Linked DNA regions of Macaca fascicularis. The protein of the gene in region 1 binds, or shares a complex with, the protein of each later gene. Links are inferred from orthologs where the notes say so. Each region holds a gene or a part of one and is shown in the gene's direction. Other genes may lie near its edges.

Region 1 (5,608 bases):
CCATGGCTGGCCCCACATTTTGTTTGTTTTTGTTCATTTGAGACAGAGTCTGTTGCCCAGCCCGGAGTGCAGTGGTGCAATCTTGGCTCACTGCAACCTCTGCCTCCCGGGTTCAAGCAATTCTCCTGCCTCAGCCCCCTCTAGTAGCCAAGATTACAGGTGCGCGCCACCACGCCCAGCTAATTTTTGTATTTTTTGTAGAGATGGGGTTTCACCATGTTGGCCAGGCTAGTCTCGAACTCCTGAGCTCAAGTGATCCACCCGCGTCAGCCTGCTGAAGTGCAGGGATTACAGGCTTGAGCCACCACTCCCGCCCAAATGTTTCTTAAAATAACTTGACCCATGCAAAATAAATTGTCTCCTATGTAATCCTTTATTTAAAAAAAAAAAAAAAAAAAAGATACTGTACATCCGAGTTAGAAATTGAAAGGCAAGACCAGAATATGCCTGAGGAAGGCTTTGTTTATTTTGCTTATCAGAAATGAGATAAAGAATTATCTCCGAATGGGCCAGTTTCCAACTTGGACCATGTACACCATATACACAATGCTCCGCATTCTGGGAGGGGTGAGGTTGGGAGCAGTAAATGACAAGTGTTTTGCCCGTGTTTCTTTTCTCCTCCAAGTGGATGTAAAACTTTTCACATGTGCAGAAGCACGCAACTATAGCCACGTGCAGAAGCAGCCGTTTTTGCAAATGAAAACATTTCCCAGAAGCACAACAAATACAAGACTAACAGGTGCCAGGCAGCGCCAAGGCACACATGTGGTTCTCATCAGCCGTCTTCCTCCTGTTTTAAATCTAGGTCTTCCTGTAACAGTGGGGAAAAAAAAGATTTCTCCCGAGGCCGCCGAGCTTGCCTTTCCACCCCGTCTCACAACAGCATTTCCAACAGAGTTCCCAGAGAGAGGGGAGCAATTACAGAAGGCAATAAGTAGGGTGGAGGGAGGAGGGGCGCCCTTAAACTTGACACCTGCGGTTCTGGGCTTAACCCCGAAGTCTAGGTGACCTTGGGCCTCCGTTTCCTCCTGTGACGTGTTTGGTTAAGAGAATGAGCATCTCAGTTTTACAGCACCTCCAGGCAGAGGCGGGTAGAAGGGTCTTTCAATCACGGGGTTTTCTGCCGGTAGCGGGGCGGGGGGACTGTGCCCCAACAAGGGATGGCGGCAATGACTGCAGACTGGGGGAGGGGGCGCTTCTGAGGCCAGAAATGCCGCTCAACTTTCGACAGATCGCGGGACCCGCCCCAACGACAGAGCAATATCGCCCAAATGCCAGTGGCGCCGAGGTGGAGAAGCCGCGGCGTAGACGCAGATTTGCAACCTCCGGCTTTCCAGCGTTCCCAGCTACGGGGGGCGGCTTCTTTGCCGCCTCACGTTTTCGCGATCGGGGTCGCGCGTGGCGATGCAGACCCCCGCCCGTCACCACACCCATTCCCACACTCTCTAAGGGGCGGGGGCGGCCGCGGCGACACCCCTGGACTCCTCCGATGACCCTTCCGTGCGCAGAATCACAACGTGGACGTCTGCTTCCCTCGCCCTCACAAAAACTTCGGCAGCTGCTCAGCCTGCGACTCTCATCCCCCAGTCACGCGCCGGGAAGGCTCTCCTAGAGGAAGGATTTTCCCGCCGCCCTCCCTGCCCTGAGGTAGCCGCCGCGAGCGTCCGGGTTCAAGGACTCTTTGCGCGCGCGCTTCCGTCAGAAAGCCCCGCCCCGCGACCCGGGCGGGGGCGGGGTCTCCAGGCAGCGACCGTTGCCCCGCCCAACCTCCTCCCAACGGCTGCCTAGGCCGGGCGGCGGGGCGGGGCGGCACAGGCGGGTGAGTGCGCCTGCGCGCGCGTGCGCGGAGGCGCGGGGCGGGGCGCACGGGCAGCCCCGCCCATGCCTGGCGTCTCCGCCCGTCCCATCTCCCAACCTCCTCAGCGTGGCGCCGACGCTGCGTGCGGCGCGGACTACCCAGAGTACTCCGCGCGGGGGCAGCTCACTGGAGTTTGGTTCTCGAGGCGGCGGCAGCAAGCGGCGGCGGCTCCGGCGGCTCCTCCTCCTCCGGTGGCGGCGGCGGCCCGGGACCGAGACCCGGCCCCGGCTCCCCTCTCCGCCACCCCGCGCGCACCTAACCCTCCGGCGCCGCGGGGAACATGCGGCTCCGGCTCCCGGAGGCCGGCGAGTGAGTGACCCCCGTCCCCCGCCTCAGCCCGCCCGCCCGCTGGCCCGGCCGCAACCCCCGCCTCGCCCAGGCAATGACAGCGGCTCCGGCGTCTCCGCAGCAGATCAGGGACCGGCTGCTGCAGGCCATCGACCCCCAGAGCAACGTAAGTACCCGCCGCGCGAGCTGGGACGGAGGCCGCATGGGCCTGGGACCCTCCCCCTCTCCTGTCCCCCTCGCCCACCGGGCTTCGGGGGACCCGTCTGGCGCCCACCTCCCCTCGAGGGCCGCTGCCATCTCTGCCTCTCACTCCTCGGGCCCGGGCCGGGGGCAGGTCGGGCAGCCCGGCAGCGCTTGGTACGTGAGGCCGAGGCTTCCGTGCGGCCTGGGCGGAGGAAGCAGACGGGGGGCTAAGGGTAGAGTTTATCTCCCCTTTCTGCTCCAGCTCTATGACCCTCACTGCTCTGGACGAAGCTGCCCTGCATCGCCCTCCCTCCGGGACCTGAGACCCCCGGGAAGCCCTCCCGGAGCGGGGGAGGGGAGGGAGAAGGGCTGTGAAGCAACTGGTGTCCGGGGTATGACTCGGGGAGCCTGTGTCTCCCATGTCTTAGCCTTCTGGGTTATGAGAGAAGTCCTTCCCCCTCCTCCCGGCTGGCAGCACCTTCCTGGCTTCGGAGAGAACCCCCAGTGTGTTTTGCCCCTGGCCGGGTACCCAGGGTACGTGGAGAGTCTGTCTCCCTTCTGTGACTGGACACGCCTTCGCCAAAACCCTCTTGGGGTCGCTGCCAGCGACAGATGATTTCGGGGAGGGTGGGATCCTTCCTGTTGCCTTTCTGGGCCTCAGTACCCATTGCGTCTCTGACCAAGCCAGAGCTCCATTTTTTTGGGTAGTGAATTAAAGAGGACTTTTCTCTCCCGTTTACCCAAGAGCCCTGTTTCAGTAGGCTCTTTCCCTCACCTGGGGGTCTCAGCCTGGTGGCTATTGACCCAGACTGTCAGGGTTAACTCCAGGGTGTCGCTTCCTCGGGTGCCCCTTTGCTGAGGCTACTGTTGGCGGAGGGACCGCCCCTTCCCCCTCCGTATGTGTGGCTGTGTATCTGTGTGTGTGTATGTGTGTTGTTGCGGGGGTGGGGTGGGGGTGGGAAGACTGATCTATTCTCATATTTTCTCCAAGAGTTTCTTGGCAGTAGGGGTCATACTTCCCGCGGCAGGAGCAGGGCGGTGGGAAGATGCAGTAGCATCCAGGTATGAAGTGAGGCCCTGCTTCCCAGGAAGTGGCCATTGAGATCACTTTTTAATATGCTGTGAATGGAAGAAAAAAATCATCTTTGGCTTGGCCAGGTAACTCAGGTTTCTCTCACCGTAGGGGTTTTTACTTGTAGTTTTACATGAGCTTGGCTGATTACTCTTAGCAGTATGCTTAACTCTGATGATGTTTTTGGAATAATTCACGTTGACTTATACAATTTTTGGTAAGATTGAAGGGTTATGAGTTTTTTTCTAAGGCCCTGTTTTTGCTGTGATATAAGTACTTCTCTTATCCCTGGTATTCAGGTCCCATTAACATTGACTTGATGGTAATTGTCTTTAACAAATGTTATATTATACATTTTTGTTATGACTTTGGGGGTGGAGTGGGCACAAGCTATATAAAACCTTCTCGAATGTCCTTTTTGCAGTAACTGGTGCCACTGCAATTTTAAGATTGAAATATTAGAGGATAAAACTAGTGACATGAAAAAAATAGCCTTGGTGACTTGTACATCTTTTGTGGAGCCAGAAGGTAATTTTTTGAATTTCACGCACTCGCTTTCCTTCTGGAGAGTCTGAGAGGTTGCTGAGATATTAGCACTGATCCTTAATGCCACCTCAGAGAGCTTTGGGATCAGGCGGCACTTTGACAGGCGATCACAGTGTTGTAGATTAGGTCACTCCAGTGACCTCACAGTTTCCAGTATTGTGTAAGGCTCTAATCAAAAGGGTTCCTTGAGGCAGAAGAAAAGAGGACGGAACAAATCTTAGTTTTGTGTGTCTCAGCTCATGCAGAAATGTTATATAGGTCCCTGGTTATGTTACCTGACATGGAATTTGCATTTCATATCGCTTATTTTCAAGGACTTTGGTGATGATCTTGGGCAGAGTCCTACTAACATGGGGTGGATGGATTTGGGAAATTATCTTCTTGATTATGAGCAATGAGGAAAGTGCCTCCTTTGTGATTGATCCTCTGAGCGCTGTTATGGGCCGTTTGACAGGACCGTTCGCTTTGAGCAAACACCATGCAGAAACAGAGCTGCAGTGGACGGGGTTTGCTGGCGGAGGTGGTGGTGAGAGCTGGGCATGTCAGTGTGTCTGCAGTTTCTCTCGGATCAATGTGGGCTCAGGTGAGAGCAGGTGGCTCCAGCACAGGTGCTGCCGGTGTGCCGGTCTCTCCTCTCTGCCCTGCCCAATGATGAATTCCACTACTGGATATTTAGTTGACACATATTTAAGATGCTCGTGGAAAAAAAAAAAAAAAACGGGGACAGTGTTGAAGAGCCAACACTAAAATTAAACCTCTTCTGAGAGAAGCGGCAGAGAATTGTGTCATGTAATGCTTACCTTTATGGGCATGCAATTATGGTTAACAAACTTAGCTATTGCTTGCAAAATCAGTGTCAGGAACTGACCTAATATCCAAAAGTATCTGGAAAGTTAGGGAAGTGACGAAGTCGTGTTTACCAACCATCTCCTTGACAAAGAAATTCTTACGAGGAAAGTTGTTTCTGTGCTCTTTTAGCCCCTGGAGTATGCATTTGAATTCCTATAGCAGCAGGCTCAGAGTTAATAATTTCTGCCAATTCAGTAATAAAGTAAATCCTCTACTCTCCTTTTCAAAAGGCTACTAACGGTTTTTCAGAGCAGTCGGAGCTTTTCTTTTCGTTGTGCACCCTTTCAGCCCAGGGTGTTGAAAATCTCTCCGAAGCGCAGTGTGTGCATGATTGTTCCAGCTTACTCTCGCTGCATTGTGGGTAAAGTGAAGGACTGTGTCTTACTCTCGCACAGCAGTCGTAGTGAGCAGTCTCCTCAGCAGGTGATTCGGTTCCCATCTGCCTGGGACACTCTTTGTTTTGTGGAGGTACGAGCTTTATCTTCCTGTGCGGCACACAAGCTTCTTGGGATGTTTCATGTCTTGTCTTCTCCCTCTAGAGCAGAAGCATTTGGCACACTTTCTATCTGCTGCTTAAACTGACTGAACCCTAGCATCCATCTTGGACCTGTGCCTGAGGAGCTACATGTGAACCCCATTTTACTAGGAAGCCTTTGTAACTGCTTTATGCCCAAAAGTACAGTCGTGGAATATTCTAATGCAGAACTTTGGAGAGGGAAGGAGTCACAGGTGACTTGAGACGCTACTCAGTAGAACTGTGAGGAATATGGATGTTAAGTGATGATTAACAAACTTAGCTTTTAGAGGAAAGG
Region 2 (5,416 bases), on another chromosome or scaffold:
TTCTTTTTCATTCCGTGGCTGAAGAAGTGACATGGAAGACTCTACCATTCAGTTTACAGATACAATTATGTATCTATAACACATAATACATAATTATGTATCTGTAATAGTTACATAAAATTACAGTAAGTCCTAACTCACCGATATTTCTAACTTCTGAATCATCTTTTCTTCTTCTGTCTTGCAATCCTAAAACCGTCAGAGAAACTGTTTTGAACTCTTATATTGAAGTGTAACCCATCCAAGCACTGGGTGTTTTATGGGAAAGAGAATGAACCTTTTGTTTGGTTCTTACTTCTTACCACCCACTCATTTGTAAATATACAAATATGAAGCACCTACTGTGTGCTAGGTATCTTTTTTTAGGCACTAGAGAGACAGAAGTAAACAACAACAAAAACGTAGTGAGACCTTTACATACACTAGTTCTCCTGCTTCTCACAATAACTGTATGAGGTAACGATGACAACAATAATAGTTAACTCTTAACAGTGCTTATCTGTGCAGGGCCCTGGGCTACCTGCTTAATTTGCATTAACTCATTACAATAAGCTTGTGGGGTAAGGGGCATGTTTTCCCCGTTTTACAGACGAGGAAACAAGACACAGAGCAGAAAGTGATTTGCTCAAGCTTGGAACCCAGGGAGTGTGGCTCTAATTCCCAGTCTATTAACTACAGGGCAATATTTTGTTTCTTAAGTTTCTATCTTCATATCACAACTTTTAGGTGGTGGAGTCTCGTCCCCATCCAGATCGTCTGACTCCCAAATCCAGAGGTTTGCGCCTGCACCCCAGCGGCCTCGCGAAATAAATGAGAATGTCTTGGAATTTTTGTCAATACTTTCTCTTCCAAAGAACTCAAACTGATTTCCACGTAATTCCCATTGATTTGTGAAATGAACCTTCCTGGACTGTAAATTTCCCCGCAAAGACAGGGCCAGGGCCACGGGTCATTTTACACTGGCCAGGGCACCCAGCAGGTGGCGCTATGTTAGTGGCTACCAGCTGGCTGCCCAGTCCCCGGGGCTCACCGCCTCGGCCGAAAGCTTCCCGGCCCTCCCTCGCTCACTTCTCTCTCCCCCTCCCCACGGAGCCCGGGCCCACGTGACCTCAAGGCGGCCAATGGGTGAGCAGAGAGGGCGAGCTGGTCCCTGTGGCCGCCATTAAAGCGAAGGGAAAACCCGTGAATTCGGATTAAAGGGGGAAAAACACCGCCCGCTGGGCCCACAAAATGGGGGAGACTACGGCGTCCAGCCGGTGAGGCCGCAGGAGGGCAGACGTTAGGCCGGCTCGGCCCAGGGACGACACGAAGACAGAGCCAGAGAATGGTCTGAGCCCGCAGACGCCGCCACCACCTCCGCCGCTGAGGAGACTCTGGGCTTAAGGACATCGCCGCTGCCGGGCCGGGGGCCTGGGCTTCTCTCCCGGTTCTCGCCCTTCCCGCCCCTGTGTGGGCGCCTCCCCGCCCGGGAGAACCTTCCAGGGCTTGGGCTCTGCCGTCTCGGACTCGTTTTTGATTATTTATTGTGTAATTTATTATTTTTCTTGTGGTAGGGGCACACATCCCCTCCGTCTCCCAGAGAAGGACGAGCGTCTGCGGGCTCCGCAGTCCGGCCCGCCAGGCGAGCGCGGCGCGGCCCTCCCGCCTCCGGCCCTCGGCCCCGGGCGGCTGGGTGCCGGCCGGGCGGCGGGGGCTGCTCGCGGCGGCGGCAGCGGCGGCGGCGGGGGGGTGGGTGGGGAGGGCGGGCGGCCCGGCGGCCTCCTCTTCCACCGCCCCCCCAACCACTACCCCCCCACGCCCTCCCCGGTGTCTGTGTTTCTCTCTCTGGTCGGAGGCGGCGGTAATGGCGGATGGTGGGTTGTGGCGCCGGCGGCGGCTGCTGTGAGGGACGATGAGTGCCTCCTTCGTGCCGAACGGGGCCAGCCTGGAAGATTGTCACTGTAACCTCTTCTGCCTGGTGAGTGCCGGGGCCGGCGGGCGCCGAGGGAGGGGGGCCGTGAGGTGCGCCCTTGGGCCGTGGGGGAGGGGGCCGGGTCTGGTCCAGATGCCCGAGTCCCCGGGCGAGGCCCAGCCGGAGCCGGCGCCCTGCGAAGCTCCGCGGCCAACCCCGGGAGACTGCGTTCGCTCTCCCACGGTCCCGGGCCCTGTTTGGGGAGTGTTGGCATTTTTTCTCGTCTTCTTTCGGACTCTCCTCTTCACCGTAGTCTCGTCCTCAACTTGAGCTCCTTATCTGGCAGGACAGTAACCTTTCTCTCTCTCTTAACTGTTGCTTTTCTGCTTATTGGCCTTGTATCCCAGCTTCACACTTTCCATTATTGCCCCTGCTCCCCACCGCCTTTATGTCTCATCCTTTTAATTTGGTTTCCCCATGTAAACAGGACCCCAGAACTTATGCCCCAGAAACCTGTCTTCGTTTTACATTTTTTTTGTATGAGTCAAACTAACGCAAGGTTAGTTTCTTCCTTGGGTGACTTAAGATCTCTCTGTAAAAACCAGTAGGTGCCATTTCATATGTTTTCTTTTTAAACTTTGAAAACAGTTTGCCATTTTTGACAATTTCTAGCCATCTTGCTTTTATTAGAACATAATTTTTTTTGTGCGAGTGAAGGGGGCTAATGGACGAGGTGCTGTGGTTTTGCACTGTTTCTATATTTATTGTGTTTTGCTTGCTTTTTCAGAATGTTTTGAGCAGGCTGCTCCCTTGTTTGATTGAAATGAAAAGTCCAGAGAAGCTGGGTGTAGGGATGACCATTGTGTAGGTTAGCCCAGGTCTGGTAACATCCAACAGTTGAGACTTTCAAAAGTACCAACTGTTGCAAATAACTTGGCCTGTGTGGGACAGTAGCTGAGCTTCATCAATGACTTTAAGTTTGGGTGACTTTATTTTTTCATTTTCTCCTTTGTGCTATGAGAAATATTAAGAGTATATGATAGGTAATAAGTGAGTTAAGTGGGCGGAGCACAACTAGTTGGCAAGTGTAAACTGCCAGTCATGTATCAGCAGTTTCATTTTTGGCACCTTATGCTTTGCACCTTTAAGTTAGATTAAATTATTGAATTCCTCTTGAATTTCTTTCTGGATGCTAAATTGAGATCTTTCATACTCTATCCTCTTCTACAGTATGTTTTTCTTTTCAATGTCCATTAATCAGCATCTCTTCACGTATAATAAGACATACACCAGGTTTTGTATTCTATCTTATCCAACTCAGTCTATTTTTGATACTTTTAGGATCAGGCTCTTTGAAGATAGACTAGCACAAATCTGACAGTTCTTTGTGAGCAGCTATTTGACTTTTCCGACAGGGGTATGTGTGAAGAATTAACATAGATTTTTTTCAGGACTTGTTCAGATGTCTTTTCATTAGAGACATTACTTCTGTAAATGTGGAATAAAAACCCGTGATAGGGTCTTTAATAATTGATTTTCAGTTAAACGTTTGACACCAATGAATAAATGTGACCATTTAGGACAGAGAAAAATGTACTCTGTTTGTATATTGAAGTGTGTGTGTCTGTCTATATTTAACTTCGTTCAGTTTCTTTTATTTCTACTTGGAGTACATATTTGCTTGCTATTCAGTGACATGGTGGTATTTATTTTTAACTGTGTTCTTCTCCCTAAAATTGTTGGTTGTTGAATTATAAAGTCATTTTTTTTTGGTTCTAATTTGCATTCAATAGCTCAAGCATATATTGAAAAATTGTAATGTCTTAACGAAATAGGAGACATCGTATGGAGTACTTTTGTGAATTTGAGTGAATATGCAATAATAAAACATCATGCTTTCTTTTATTCAGGCTGACTTGACGGGAATTAAATGGAAAAAATATGTATGGCAAGGCCCAACTTCTGCCCCTATTCTGTTTCCTGTGACAGAAGAAGACCCCATTTTGAGCAGTTTTAGTCGCTGCCTTAAGGCAGATGTACTTGGTGTTTGGCGGCGAGATCAAAGACCTGGAAGAAGAGAATTGTGGATATTTTGGTGGGGTGAAGACCCCAATTTTGCTGACCTTATTCACCATGACTTATCAGGTGAAAGAAACTTTCCATTTCTAATTAATGATACAGCAACATTGTATACTTCTCCCAGAATATCATTTGTATTACAAAGTAAGTTTGTTATTGTGGGACACTTAGGTAGGAGGCCAGATAAAAATTGAGCTTCATGTTTTATTTCACCATGATTATTTTATTTTACTCAAATTATCCATGTTATAGCTGGGTTTTTTAGGCTTGAATGACTTTCTCCTTTTACCACCTCTCTTCTTAATTTCTCACGGGTAGTTAGGGTCCAAGGAAGGCATGCCACATTAATCTCAAAAAATGGAATCAGGAAACAGAGTTCCTAACAAAGTCATGTAATAGTTTTGAAGCCAGATGTAACTTTTGAGTCACTTCAGCCACTGTCAAAGTTGAGTCTTTTGCATTAAATGGGCAGATGATTCTAAAAGTACTGGAAATGTAACTATCCTTGTGTTTGTGTGTGTGTGTGCGCGCATGTTTTAAGGTATGTAAGTATTTTGTTACTGTCATTTGTGCTGTTTGATTAACATATGAAGGCATATGTTAATTTAGTTATTTTTGGAAAGTGACTCATATACTGTTCTGTCACATACTCAATAAGAGACAAGTGCCAACTTGTTTAGCTTTTATAGGACATGGGATCATAATCTAAAAGGTTACACAAACAATTTTATTATGAGCAAATCAATGTGATTACTTCCTTATTTTCTTGACTTTTAGGACCAAATGCTACTTTAGAAAGAGAAACTATAGCTTTTCATAATAATTACTGAAGCTTTGAACTGTCAAAGTCAGTATTTACTGAATCTTAGATAATAGGAATGTAAATGATTGGTTGTATGCTATAAGGTTCCGAACACTTCGGTAAGATAGTTTGATAATGATTTTTGATAGATAAATTTAGGATTTCTAGATAATTTTTTTAAAGTTCTTGTTTGAAATTGAGTACTCTGAAGTTTTTGTTATTGTCCCTATGACCTATAGGATCTATTTTATTTCTGGATAGAATGTATTCTAGGTGTCTGTATCTTGAACTGGTACTTAGTAAGACCAACATTTATGTAGGAATGTACGTGTTACATTTGTATGTTTTGATAATTGCTTTTCACATTCTAATGAACATACTCTCCCGTGATAATTACTATTTTTGAGAGTGATTGCATTTCTTCAAGAAAGCTTTCCAGCTTTTGTAGTTTTTCTAATGAGATGCCTGCTGCAGAGTCTAGTCCCTAGTTCTTTGTATTTAATGTAGTTCTAAATGTGTAAAATGTGTGTATGTATATACATATACGTATACATGATGTATGTATATATAGTAGTTTTAGCAAGATAATGCCTTCTAATCATGCTGAAAGCTCCATTTTCTTTTATTGACTTGGATATAGTATT
Region 3 (5,651 bases), on another chromosome or scaffold:
GTATGCAGTAATGAATACTATTTGTATCATTATACACATCTCTCACCCTTTCCACCTACTAATATACTGGCACCTTTCCTAGTGGTGGTGTTTTATCCAAATCTGAGATTTTAAGCTCAGATCTTCTAACTCCAAATTGCTACTTCCTGGATGAGTGGCATTTGAGTAAGGTACTAAATCTTTCTCATTTTTCAGTTTTCTCCTCTGTGAGAACGCCATCTTCCTTGCAGAAGTCTGAATGACACAATGTATATAAGGTTCCTTGCATGTTCCTTAGCATCTAATGAATATCTCATATCCCCTTTCTGGTTTATTACATGTGATCCTTACAACACACTGTAAGACCATTTTATAAAGAAGGAAACAGGATCGGGGAAGACTCGCCTGAGCTTGCACAGATTAGCTACATGACAGCGCCAATATTGGAGCGAGGTCTCAGTCCGACTCAAATGTTTTTTTCATGAAATTAAAGCTGCTTTTCTAAAAGCATGGGCCCTAGAACTAAATGAATTCATGCTGTTTACAGCATTCCAATGCCTAAAGAAATACAAAACCCGGCAAACTAAATCTACTGCCGTGTTGCCCATTGAAACTGCAACAGAAAGTCAAAATACAAATTTTGTTAATACCACTATCATTAGGTCAAAGAGTTGACGACGCGGATGACACGTCAGTAAACAAAACAAAGCAAAAAGAGTTACTCCTTTAGCTCCCCGAGGAAACTGCAGACCGCGTCCCATAGTCCGCAGGGGTACCATAGTCGGGCCTTCCGGGCTGGGCTGGTCCCTGCCGAGGCTACGCAGCCCGGCCACCCCCAGACCCAGAGGAGGCCAACGCCACGCCTGCCCGCCGGACCCTCCCCCTCGGATCTCAGGGCCCAGTGCTGCGTCCGCCCGCCCCTCACCTCCGGCTCGGGGCGCTCCGAGGCCATCACACAAGCCCTCCCGCGCCGGCCCGGGCCCGTGTGTTCCACTCTTGACCCCTGACCTGGCTACCTCGGCACCCGGAAGGAACAGGAAGTGGGTGGGAGGGCCGAGTTCCAGTTTTCTGATTGGTGGACGAAGCCTTCTCAGAGGCGTTTGCTGACAGGAAACCGGAAGTGGAAATCGTTGCAGTCGCCTCGGCCGCCGCAATGCAGGTGAGAGCCGCGTTGGGAGTGCTAGCGGCTGGCCAGCTTCGGCTACAGGGAGCCAGAGTGGGCTGGCTAAGGAGAATGAAGAGTTGGGACTGAGAAAAGAGGGCAGAACCCACGGCTGATAAGGGAACGTGGGTTGGGGGGCGAGGTTAATTGGAGAGGGAGCGGCGCAGATGAGAGGTGGGGGTGGAGCTCGCCTGACAGAAGGCGGTCGGGCTAAATCCGGAGGGAGGAGGCAGCACTGACTTGCTTGGCGTGGGAAAGGATTAGGTTGTAATACGGGGAGGCCGAGATGCAGTCCAAGGAAGACGGCTCAGGAGGTGGTGGGTTGGCTCAGGCCCTGTCCTAAGCTGCTGGATGGAGGCTGTTGGATGCCGATATAGCAGGGGATCTAATTGGAAAGAAGCCCAAGCAGTGAGGGAATTGTGGGCCGCGGTGTCCGAAAGCTAAGCAGCTTGTAATGTGAGGCCATGGTGGAACCCAGGATCAAGTTCCTGTCAGGCACCTTAGCAGGTTTGCAAGACAGTTTTGCATCACTCTTCCCAGCCTGTGCCCTATAGTTGTTAAGGGTGAAGAAATGGAATAAAACAGGATACCACCGATGGGAAGGAAATGCTTTGCAGACCCCCGGCATTTTAATTTGTTTGTTCAGTGCTTAGAAGCATGTGCGGTTTTGGTTTTCATTTGTCACTTAGTTTCCTGCAGCTGGTAGTCTCAAGAAATGTTATTGGGTTGACCGAGCTTGTGAAAGAGGCACGGGAATATTGACACAGAGATAGATGGGTGCATATTAATTCAGCGAGGAGAAGGTTGAAACATGAAATGATGAGAGCAGATGGAAAGCTGGAGTGGTTGGTGGGGGGAGGGAAAGAGGAGAGCAGGGCTGGTATTCAGAGAAGTCTTCATGAGTAGGCAGATTTCCCAGAGACTGACAAGAGAGCCAGGCTCACAAATGCTAGGATGGAGGAAGCTGGAGTGCATGTGCTACAGAGGTGCACATGAGATAATGATCTGGCATTAGGTTTGTCGAAAATGTCTCAATGAGGGAGTGTAGGGTGTACCTAATACAGAGAAAAACCAGGCATAGATTAGGAGCGGATGGGAAAAAGGAATCAGTTGGTGGAAGTACTTGGGTCAGGCAAACGGTTGAAAGGTCTCAGGGTTGATGCTGTCTATAACCCAAATACCACAGATAGGAAACAACCTGGTTATCCTATGCCAATGAGATCCTGTTACCTGACTGGTGTTTGCACACCATCTCCTTGGCTTTTCAGCCCTCCTTTCTATGTGTCATACTCGTTTATCTGGGTAACCAACCTGTTCCTATTGGTGCAGAGAGAGGAGAAGCAGCTTGAGGCATCATTAGATGCACTGCTGAGTCAAGTGGCTGATCTGAAGAACTCACTGGGAAGTTTCATTTGCAAGTTGGAGAACGAGTATGGCCGGCTGACCTGGTAAGGGTTGCCAGGGCAAGCTAGGGAGGGCTTATGGGTGGGGGGGCCTAGCCTTCTGATGAATAGGACACTTCTAATGATGTAACCATTTATCAGTTTACAAACATCTTTTGATTTGGAAAGAGCTGGGTTTCGTAACATTTAGCAAGTGGCTTCCATGGCAAGGAAGTAGAGAAATGCTCGGTTTCCTAACCCAAGTTCATTATAGCTTTCAATTCTTACCCTTTGACTTCTCTGGTGAGGAGGTCCTCCTATTACAGCTCTATTTGTGCTGGATCTCTTGCCACAAATATGGCTGAGTCCTTTAGATCCAACCTACTCTGAAGTGTGGATCCTATTTCCAGGCTGGAAAGAAGGATTTTACCGGGTTTCTGAAGTTTTAGTTATAACAGTATAGTCCTATTTTGCCACTGTTCCTCACCTCATTCAAACAATGAACTGGATTTTTTCTACATCTGTTTCATAAACTGAAACTATGTCCCTCTTTCATAACCCTGTCATCCTTGTTAGTTTCTTCCCACTTAGGCTAGTCATAGGGCTATGAGACTTTTGGGGATAAATCCGAGTGTTCCTAGCCTGAAGGAACTAGGACTATTTTACTAAGAACCACCCAAGGAAGGGGTGGAACATTCTGACACCTGCTTACTGCCAACAGGCCATCTGTCCTGGACAGCTTTGCCTTGCTTTCTGGACAGTTGAACACTCTGAACAAGGTCTTGAAGCATGAAAAAACACCGCTGTTCCGTAACCAGGTCATCATCCCTCTGGTGTTGTCTCCAGACCGAGATGAAGATCTCATGGTAAGAGCAGAAAAAGAATACAACTTGGGAAATTAAGGAGTTTTTTAGGCTTCTTTACTATTTAGGGAAATTAAGTTCTTAGCTGAGAACTTAGAAATAATTTTGGAGGCCTTGCTTTTTGTTCTTCTGAAGGTGGGAGAGCCACTCCCAAATAGTGTTGTAATAACCTGAGGGGTATGTCACCAAGGCTGGTACCTTCCTTCTCCAACATCTGTCTCAAGCCACAAAGTCTGCCCTTTGGTGACTTTGTCTGTTTCAGTCTTTGAAACGTGGCAGACAGTGATAGTTTAATTTGCCTCTAGGTCTGGTAGAGATAGGGATGTGAGAAGACACAAAAAATGAAGGCTGGAGTAAAGGAGATTGTGTCCTAGGAAACTAGATATTATGTCTTAGGTTGTATTTTCCTTGAAAATGCACTGTTTGCCTGTGGATGGGACTGTATATCAGGCCAGATAGAATCTTCTTGGAGTGCATAGTAGGATCAATAAAATCTGTGTGTTGCAGCGGCAGACTGAAGGACGGGTGCCCGTTTTCAGCCATGAGGTAGTCCCTGACCATCTGAGAACCAAGCCTGACCCTGAGGTGGAAGAACAGGAGAAGCAACTGACGACAGATGCTGCCCGCATTGGTGCAGATGCAGCCCAGGTTGGACTGAGTCACTGCCTTGCTGCCCCATCCCCATCCCATCATGAGAAGCTAGGCATTACCATTCCTGTCTAGTAGGGATGCATAGTTGGTTGCACCTAAGCTGCTTCTGGCAGAACCCAAGGAATAAATTTGTCCATATCGTTTCCTAGTTACCCTAATCTCTGCACAAATTTGTGTGTTACAGAAGCAGATCCAGAGCTTGAATAAAATGTGTTCAAACCTTCTGGAGAAAATCAGCAAAGAGGAGCGAGAATCAGAGAGTGGAGGTATGGTGGACTGGTGGCAAAACAGAGAAGGAGAGGTATATAAGATCACTGGAATGGGAATGGTTGTTTCGAGAGTAGTGAAGTTAGGACACAAGAGTGAACTGCTTTAGGGTTTGCATCCATTCTGTTAGCCTTTTGTATTTAAGGCCAACCCTGAAGCAGTGGAGGAAATGGGCAAAGTAAGAAGAGAGAATTCTGAGATAGGCTTGGGGGTCCTCTGGCTCTTTTTATGGGCTGTGAGGGAGTCTAGATGCTGCTGAATTCAGAACTCTAAACCCTGGCACTCATACTGGTCTTCCAGCTGCCACGTTCAGTCCTGCATCAGAAACATACTTCAGGATCCCCACTTACTTTTTCTTCAGGTCTCCGGCCAAACAAGCAGACCTTTAACCCTACAGACACTAATGCCTTGGTGGCAGCTGTTGCCTTTGGGAAAGGACTGTCTAACTGGAGACCTTCAGGCAGCAGTGGTCCTGGCCAGCCAGGCCAGCCAGGAGCTGGGACGATCCTTGCAGGAACCTCAGGATTACAGCAGGTGCAGATGGCAGGAGCTCCAAGCCAGCAGCAGCCAATGCTCAGTGGGGTACAAATGGCTCAAGCAGGTCAACCAGGTAAGGTGGCAGGGGTTGAAAGGAAGCTGACTTTGAGCAGGGGAGCTGGAGGGAATAAGCTAGATTATCTGGGCCTCCAGCATCTCTAGACCTAGAGATTTTCTCCATTTCTCCTTTGCACTGTGACCCAGGAAATAATTTTCAGAAGTAAAAAAATCTCATTTGAGACTCTGCATAGGCACCAGAGAGTGAGGAAGAACTTTGAGTAACAGAAACTGCTCTCATTTCCCATCTCCATCTCACATCTCTGTGTCAACTATCCTTCGGTCCCATTTATTCTGGTATTAGATATGTTGTCAGTGTCTCTTCTTAGGTAGAGAAATCAGTGGTCAGATCTTAAGACCGTTTGGTAGGTGCATTAGGAATTGACACGCAGGCCAGTTTTCCAGTCCTACATGTATTCTTTTCTCTGTATCATGCCTCTCTTGCTCTTGGCTTCCTGCTTTCTCTCCTACTCATTTTTAGAATAGTCTATATGGAGGCAGCTAGAAGAGTTATTTCCTCCAAGCTGTCTAGGAGAAGGGACAATTAAAACAAAGATTCTGCAGTTCTTATGATATTAAAAAAAAAAAACAATGAGAGAAAGTACTCTTTTTACCTGTGACATTAAATGGGGGTCACACAGGTTTAGCTATCTTTTCTAGGAGTGGATGAACAGACTATTCTCCCATATCACTTCTTTCCTCCTGGGCACCTTCAGGGAGAGAGCTGGGTGAAGAACCATACTTCTGACCTTT
Region 4 (5,399 bases), on another chromosome or scaffold:
CATAAACCCCTTTTCAAATGTAGGCTAAGTTGAGAGTCTGGTCTGGGGAAAGGGTCCACAGCTTTTATCTGATTCTTAAAAAGATCCGTGGCCAAAAGAGGCTGAAGAACCAGGAAAACCAAGGGGTCAGGGCCCTTGGCTGAAACAGAGGATTATTTCACTCAGAAAATTATCAAGAGGTGAGGCTGGGTCTGTTTGCTGGAGCCAGATTATAGTAAATCTTGACAACTAGGCAGAGATAGTTGGACATCAACCTGAGGTCTCTGTGGAGACACGGAAGACCTACTAGGAAGATAGTGGCAGGACAAAAACTGTGTCACAATATGAGTTGTCTTGAAGTGACTTCTCTACTTCAAGTGCCCAAGTTCCCTTCAATCACGCTGCAAAACTTAGTATCCTTACGGAGTGGACTAAACTGTATTCAATCAGTCACCAATCCGTATTAATTATTTTTCTCAAAAATATATTTTAGTCTTTTTTTCCTCTCTTATCAGGGTCAACACCCTATTCTAGGCCCAGCTCACCTTAATCTTGGACAACTGCAAAACCTTCCTCTTGGTGAGTCCTTGGCTTATTCATCTTTGCACACTGAGCACTGGATATACTTCCTGGCATGTGGCAGGCATTCAGTAAGGTACACGCTCAAGTGAAGGTGGGAGGAAAAGGTTGTAGATTCCCCCAAGTTACAGTTAGAACAAATTATGGAGTGATTTCTCATTAGTTCCATTATGGGGAGCATGCCTCATCCACGTTCTTAATGAGGCCCCAGTAAGTCTGTAGACTGTTTGGGGATGAGGGTGGGGCATGGGTGTGAAGCAGAAGTGGTGCTTCCCAGCAAGGGTTGGGATAAATCCAGCAAGCTGAGTTCCCCGGGGACTGTGTCCACCACCTACCCCGCAGCCGCAGGAAGGTAATCACGGATAATCAGCCTGAGAAAGAGGATATGAGAGTTTGTTTGATGTCTCCAAACCTGTTATTTGCCGACTCCAAACTCATTTCTTACCAGACTATCCTCAGGCTAAATTTCCTTAAATACCAAGTTTCTATTATCACTCTTCACACTTAAGCTCTCAATAAGTCCCAACTCTAAATCTAAATTGTGCAGCTGATTTTTCTTGGCTGGGCGCGGTGGCTCATGCCTGTAATCACAGCACTTTGCGAGGCCAAGGAGGGCGGATCACGAGGTCAGGAGACGGAGACCATCCTGGCTAACACGGTGAAACCCTGTCTCTACTACAAAAAAAAAAAAAAAAAAAAAAAAAAATTTAGCCGGGCGTGGTGGCGGCGCCTAAAGTCCCAGCTACTCGGGAGGCTGAGGCAGGACAATGGCGTGAACCCGGGAGACGGAGCTGGCAGTGAGCCAAGATCGCGCCACTGCACTCCAGCCTAGGCGACAGAGCCAGACTCCGTCTCAAAATAAATAAATAAATAAATAAATAAAAATAAATAAATATATCTACTCTTCAATGTAGTCAATAAGTAAACACATGAGAGGATAGGAGAAATCACTAAAAAAAAAAAAAAATCCCCGCTGAATCCAACGATCTCTGAAGCCTTTAACACCTAACAACCTCAAAGAGAGTATTTCAGCCCCTCAAAGCGATGGACCCCAGGCCGCTCCCCAGTTACTCAAAAGATCCAGCCTCTCCTCTGGTGTAGCCCGCTCTAAGGCCGCCTCGGCAGTACCACCCACTCCTGACGGGCGGGGAGTTCTCTCCGACCCCACCCCTTCCAAGAAGGCAGCGCTGGGATTGGCCATGACGCGTACCAGAGCTGCCCAGTCGCGGAAGAGCAGCTGTTTTGGCGTCGGTTTGCTGCGGGAAGAACATGGCGGATCGGCTCACGCAGCTTCAAGACGCTGTGAATTCGGTGAGGAATTTCATTCGATTAGCCTCTGTCTTTCTCTTTCCTGAGGTAAAGCAAGGGAGAAAAGGGGCCCAAGAGGCAAAACTTGGAAGTGGAAAGCGGACTGAGAAACAGGGCTTCGGCATAAAGCGCTCTCTCGGGAGGCGCCACCGCGAACTCGGAGGTGTGAGGCCGGCTGCCGGGCGGTGCTTGAAGGTGCGGGAGGGAGCAGCCTCTTTCGCTTGAGGAGACCGGGAAGATTGCTCTTGTCCGGGTGGGGCCGCCAAGACTTGTCGGCTGCGCGGTCCTGTCGTATTCCCTGAGGACAGTTTTATTTTCTTGGCAGCGGTGCTTACATCTCTCTTTTGGGGGTTGGGAGGAGAAGCAGGAGCTCTTTTCTTTCCTCATCAATTTGAATCCACCAAGGGAGATCTCGTGCTGTGGATGACTGGGTTTTTGTAATGAAATGCCAGCCGAGAGTATTCCTTCACCAGCGCTTTCAGGTTGGTGCGGAGCGACGCTGAGGCGAGAGATTTTTCATCTTCGCTCCTTCCTGTGGGCCCAGAGCCTCCTTCCATCTCTTGTCTCTTGGCCACCCCTCAGAATGCATCAGTTTGGGGACATCTTTATGATAGGAAATCTTCTGATTCTCGTATGTCTTTCCGTTTATTTGAGTCTTTCTTTTTTCTTTTCTTTTCTTTTTTTTTTTTTTTTTTTTACTTTGGAGACTGTGTCTGTCGCCCAGGCTGGAGTACAGTGGTGCCATCTCGGCTCACTGCACCCTCCGCCTCCGCCAAACAAGTAGCTGGGATTACAGGCGCCCTCCACCACGCCCGGCTGATTTTTCTATTTTTAGTAGAGACGGGGTTTCACCATGTTGCCCAGGCTGGTCTCGAACTCCCGGCCTCAAGCGATTCTCCCGCCTCGGCCTGCCAGAGTGCTGGGATTACAGGTGTGAGCCACCGTGCCCGGCTTACAAGTCTTTTTGAACGTCTCCCCCAAATTCTACGCTCTATTAAAGGCCAAGTCTTGTAGGTAGCTCCCCAGCTTTGTTCCTTCTGGTAATTTTTCCTCCAAGCTATGCCTGAGTGGAAAGCAGAAGCAAAGCCAGAGGATGCGCATACAGTCATGGGCCCTTAATGAAGGGGTTATGTTCTGAGAAATGCATGGTTTCGGCGATAACTTTTTTTTTTAATAAGTAGAAGTACAATGTATTATAACGATGAAACAGTAAATACATAAACCAGTAACAAAGTCATTTAGTATCATTATCAAGTATCATGGACTGTACTTAATTGTATGTGCTAGACTTTCATACACTGGCAGTGCCGTAGGTTGCTTTACAGCAGCGTCACCACAAGCACAGACCGCTATGATGTCACTAGGCAGTAAGAATTTTTCAGCGTTGTTATAACCATAGGGGACCGACATAATATATGCATCCCGTTGACCAAGACGTCAGTGGGTATTCTCTTGCTGCAATGGGTATACTTATTACCATTACCAGTTACATAGTTTTCTGTTAAATAGTTTTCCATTGATAGTTATGTTTCTCATTGTCTGATTGTGATTTAACGTCCTAGATAAGGGACTAGAGAGAAAACATGCTGAGAGGAAAACCTAAGTACCTGGTTTCTTTGCCAGTTTTTTTTCCTCACTGTAAGCTAATAACTTGGCATTTTTCTTAATACATCAGGCTTTGTACACTTGAAGAGTGTGAATCTACTTGTGATAAACTGATCTACCCTGGGTGAATAACACTAGTTTTTAAGGCTGAGAGGACCAGCTTCTAAATGTTGAATTCACCAAGATAAATTCTGCCCTGCAGGGACTTGCCTGAGCTGCCAGTCAGCCTTCCTCAGGGAACTACTCCTTTGAGATTTTACAAAATCAAATTGTAATGATGCTGCTGGATAGAAATCTTATTTTAGGGAAACTTTTGCATATTCATACATGTCTTGTAACTAGAAGGATAGTAAGGACAGAGTGAATATGGCCTTAACTCCAGGTTAGGCGTACTGATAATTGGATTTTGGAGAAAAGCCTTTAGGATAACTAGTATGAGTGCCTACTGTGTATAAGCACTATCATGTTTGCAAAGAGATACTCCTTAAGGAGGTTAAAAAAATGTCATATACTCAGGAGACATTTAAGTGATGGAAAAACAGTATGTGGTTAGGGAGTTATAATGAATTGAGTATTTTCAGCTTTAGGTTCTGAAGTAAATTGGAATATGGAGTGATGTGAACCAAAATAGAGGGAATCTTCTTAGCATTTATCCTAATCAGATTTGTATAACTTTTAACATTTGTTCTACCCTCTGAAAACCATGAGTGCAGAAGCTATGTCGCATTCACTATGTCTCTATAGTGTTTAAATGTAGTACTTGTCATAGTTATTTTCCATAAAGTTTTGTTGACTGAATGGATCTTAAAAGTTTTTTTTTTTTTTTTGAGACGTAGTCTCTCTGTGTCGCCCAGGCTGGAGTGCAGTGGCCGGATCTCAGCTCACTGCAAGCTCCGCCTCCCGAGCATTCGCCTGCCTCAGCCATTCTCCTGCCTCAGCCTCCCCAGTAGCTGGGACTACAGACGCCCGCCACCTCGCCTGGCTAGTTTTTTGTATTTTTTAGTAGAGACGGGATTTCACCGTGTTAGCCAGGATGGTCTTGATCTCCTGACCTCGTGATCCGCCCATCTGGGCCTCCCAAAGTGCTGGGATTACAGGCTTGAGCCACCGCGCCCGGCCTAAAAGTTTTTGAAGGATGGAACAGATAGACACTGTGTTGAATATTTTGTGTATTTCCTCTTCCTCACAACAATGCTGTAATAGGAGAATGTATCCAATTTAAAAATGAAAAATGCTACCTGGGTTAATAGAGCTGGGATCTACGTTTGTATAGCGTCTGAGCACTTATTGCTCCATTACTATTATTAAAACCTGGGCAAAGCCATTTAGTCATAAGTGACTTTATGACTAGTTAGGTAAATATGAAGGAGTAGTGGAAAACAAGTCAGTAGAGTTGACTTAGATTGTTGAAAGCTTCAAAACAGCCTGAGTTGGAGGTTTACCTTGAAGACAGTGGTGGAGTAAGCTCAAATGTTTTTATCAGGGTAAAATAAATAACCTGGTGAACTGGCAAACAACAAGAAGGCTATTGTAATAATTCTGGTGTGAGATAATTGGTTGAACTAAGCAACAATAATGATAGAAGGAAAAGAGGAAGATTTGTAGTATTAGCATAATTTGAAGATCAAAGGAAAGCAAGAATCTGAAGTTAGACTGGTTGACTAGGAGACTTTCAATACAAATTAAATATTAAACAGAGGAAACAGTTGCCTTTGAGTTCTGTCATTGAAACAATGGCAGAGAAACCCAAAGGAAATGCTTATTAGAAATAGGAGGTTTGAGAGGTCAAGACTAGGTGAGAGAAATTGGTGGGGAGGATAGGTGTATTTAATTTGGAGATGGTAAGGAATTGATATTCTCCATCTTTAAAAGTACTTACGGAGTACTTTTAGAGTACAAGAGTTTAAAAATTGAGTCTTGAACAGATA

The links. The genes of interacting proteins can lie anywhere in the genome.
Region 2: MED26 (region 1) and MED13 share a complex: the UniProt entries of both Homo sapiens proteins name them as parts of the mediator complex. The link is inferred for Macaca fascicularis from reciprocal best matches to the Homo sapiens genes MED26 and MED13.
Region 3: MED26 (region 1) and MED8 share a complex: the UniProt entries of both Homo sapiens proteins name them as parts of the mediator complex. The link is inferred for Macaca fascicularis from reciprocal best matches to the Homo sapiens genes MED26 and MED8.
Region 4: the proteins of MED26 (region 1) and MED21 are in contact, whole or in part, in a cryo-EM structure (PDB 7EMF), measured with the Homo sapiens proteins. The link is inferred for Macaca fascicularis from reciprocal best matches to the Homo sapiens genes MED26 and MED21. Residues at the interface, in NP_004822.2 of Homo sapiens: Ser481, Arg482, Asn483, Glu484, Ile485, Ser488, Tyr489, Ser491, Arg492, Ser495, Leu496, Ser498, Ser499, Ser500, Leu528, His529, Ser535, Pro537, Thr538, Asp539, Leu540, Pro541, Gln549, Asp551, Leu552, Ile555, Gln556, Trp560, Gly562, Val563; in NP_004255.2 of Homo sapiens: Ala2, Asp3, Arg4, Leu5, Gln7, Asp10, Ser14, Gln18, Asn21, Gly24, Val25, Gln28, Cys29, Tyr54, Leu57, Phe58, Leu61, Arg64, Thr65, Lys67, Asp68, Val71, Leu72, Asp74, Ser75, Leu76, Pro77, Ser78, Glu79, Glu80.

The regions. Positions count from the first base shown.
Region 1 is NC_088393.1:16,961,310-16,966,917, reverse strand, and holds the start of MED26 (mediator of RNA polymerase II transcription subunit 26), read left to right. Parts: upstream 1-1,983; 5' UTR 1,984-2,240; coding exon 2,241-2,312; intron 2,313-5,608. UniProt on the Homo sapiens protein: Component of the Mediator complex, a coactivator involved in the regulated transcription of nearly all RNA polymerase II-dependent genes.
Region 2 is NC_088390.1:46,526,396-46,531,811, reverse strand, and holds the start of MED13 (mediator of RNA polymerase II transcription subunit 13), read left to right. Parts: upstream 1-1,814; 5' UTR 1,815-1,891; coding exon 1,892-1,957; intron 1,958-3,801; coding exon 3,802-4,036; intron 4,037-5,416. UniProt on the Homo sapiens protein: Component of the Mediator complex, a coactivator involved in the regulated transcription of nearly all RNA polymerase II-dependent genes.
Region 3 is NC_088375.1:191,387,388-191,393,038, forward strand, and holds the start of MED8 (mediator of RNA polymerase II transcription subunit 8), read left to right. Parts: upstream 1-2,049; 5' UTR 2,050-2,233; coding exon 2,234-2,589; intron 2,590-3,244; coding exon 3,245-3,389; intron 3,390-3,893; coding exon 3,894-4,034; intron 4,035-4,221; coding exon 4,222-4,303; intron 4,304-4,665; coding exon 4,666-4,914; intron 4,915-5,651. Other genes in the region: KICSTOR complex protein SZT2, read right to left, coding at 905-931. UniProt on the Homo sapiens protein: Component of the Mediator complex, a coactivator involved in the regulated transcription of nearly all RNA polymerase II-dependent genes.
Region 4 is NC_088385.1:29,775,246-29,780,644, forward strand, and holds the start of MED21 (mediator of RNA polymerase II transcription subunit 21), read left to right. Parts: upstream 1-1,797; 5' UTR 1,798-1,827; coding exon 1,828-1,869; intron 1,870-5,399. UniProt on the Homo sapiens protein: Component of the Mediator complex, a coactivator involved in the regulated transcription of nearly all RNA polymerase II-dependent genes.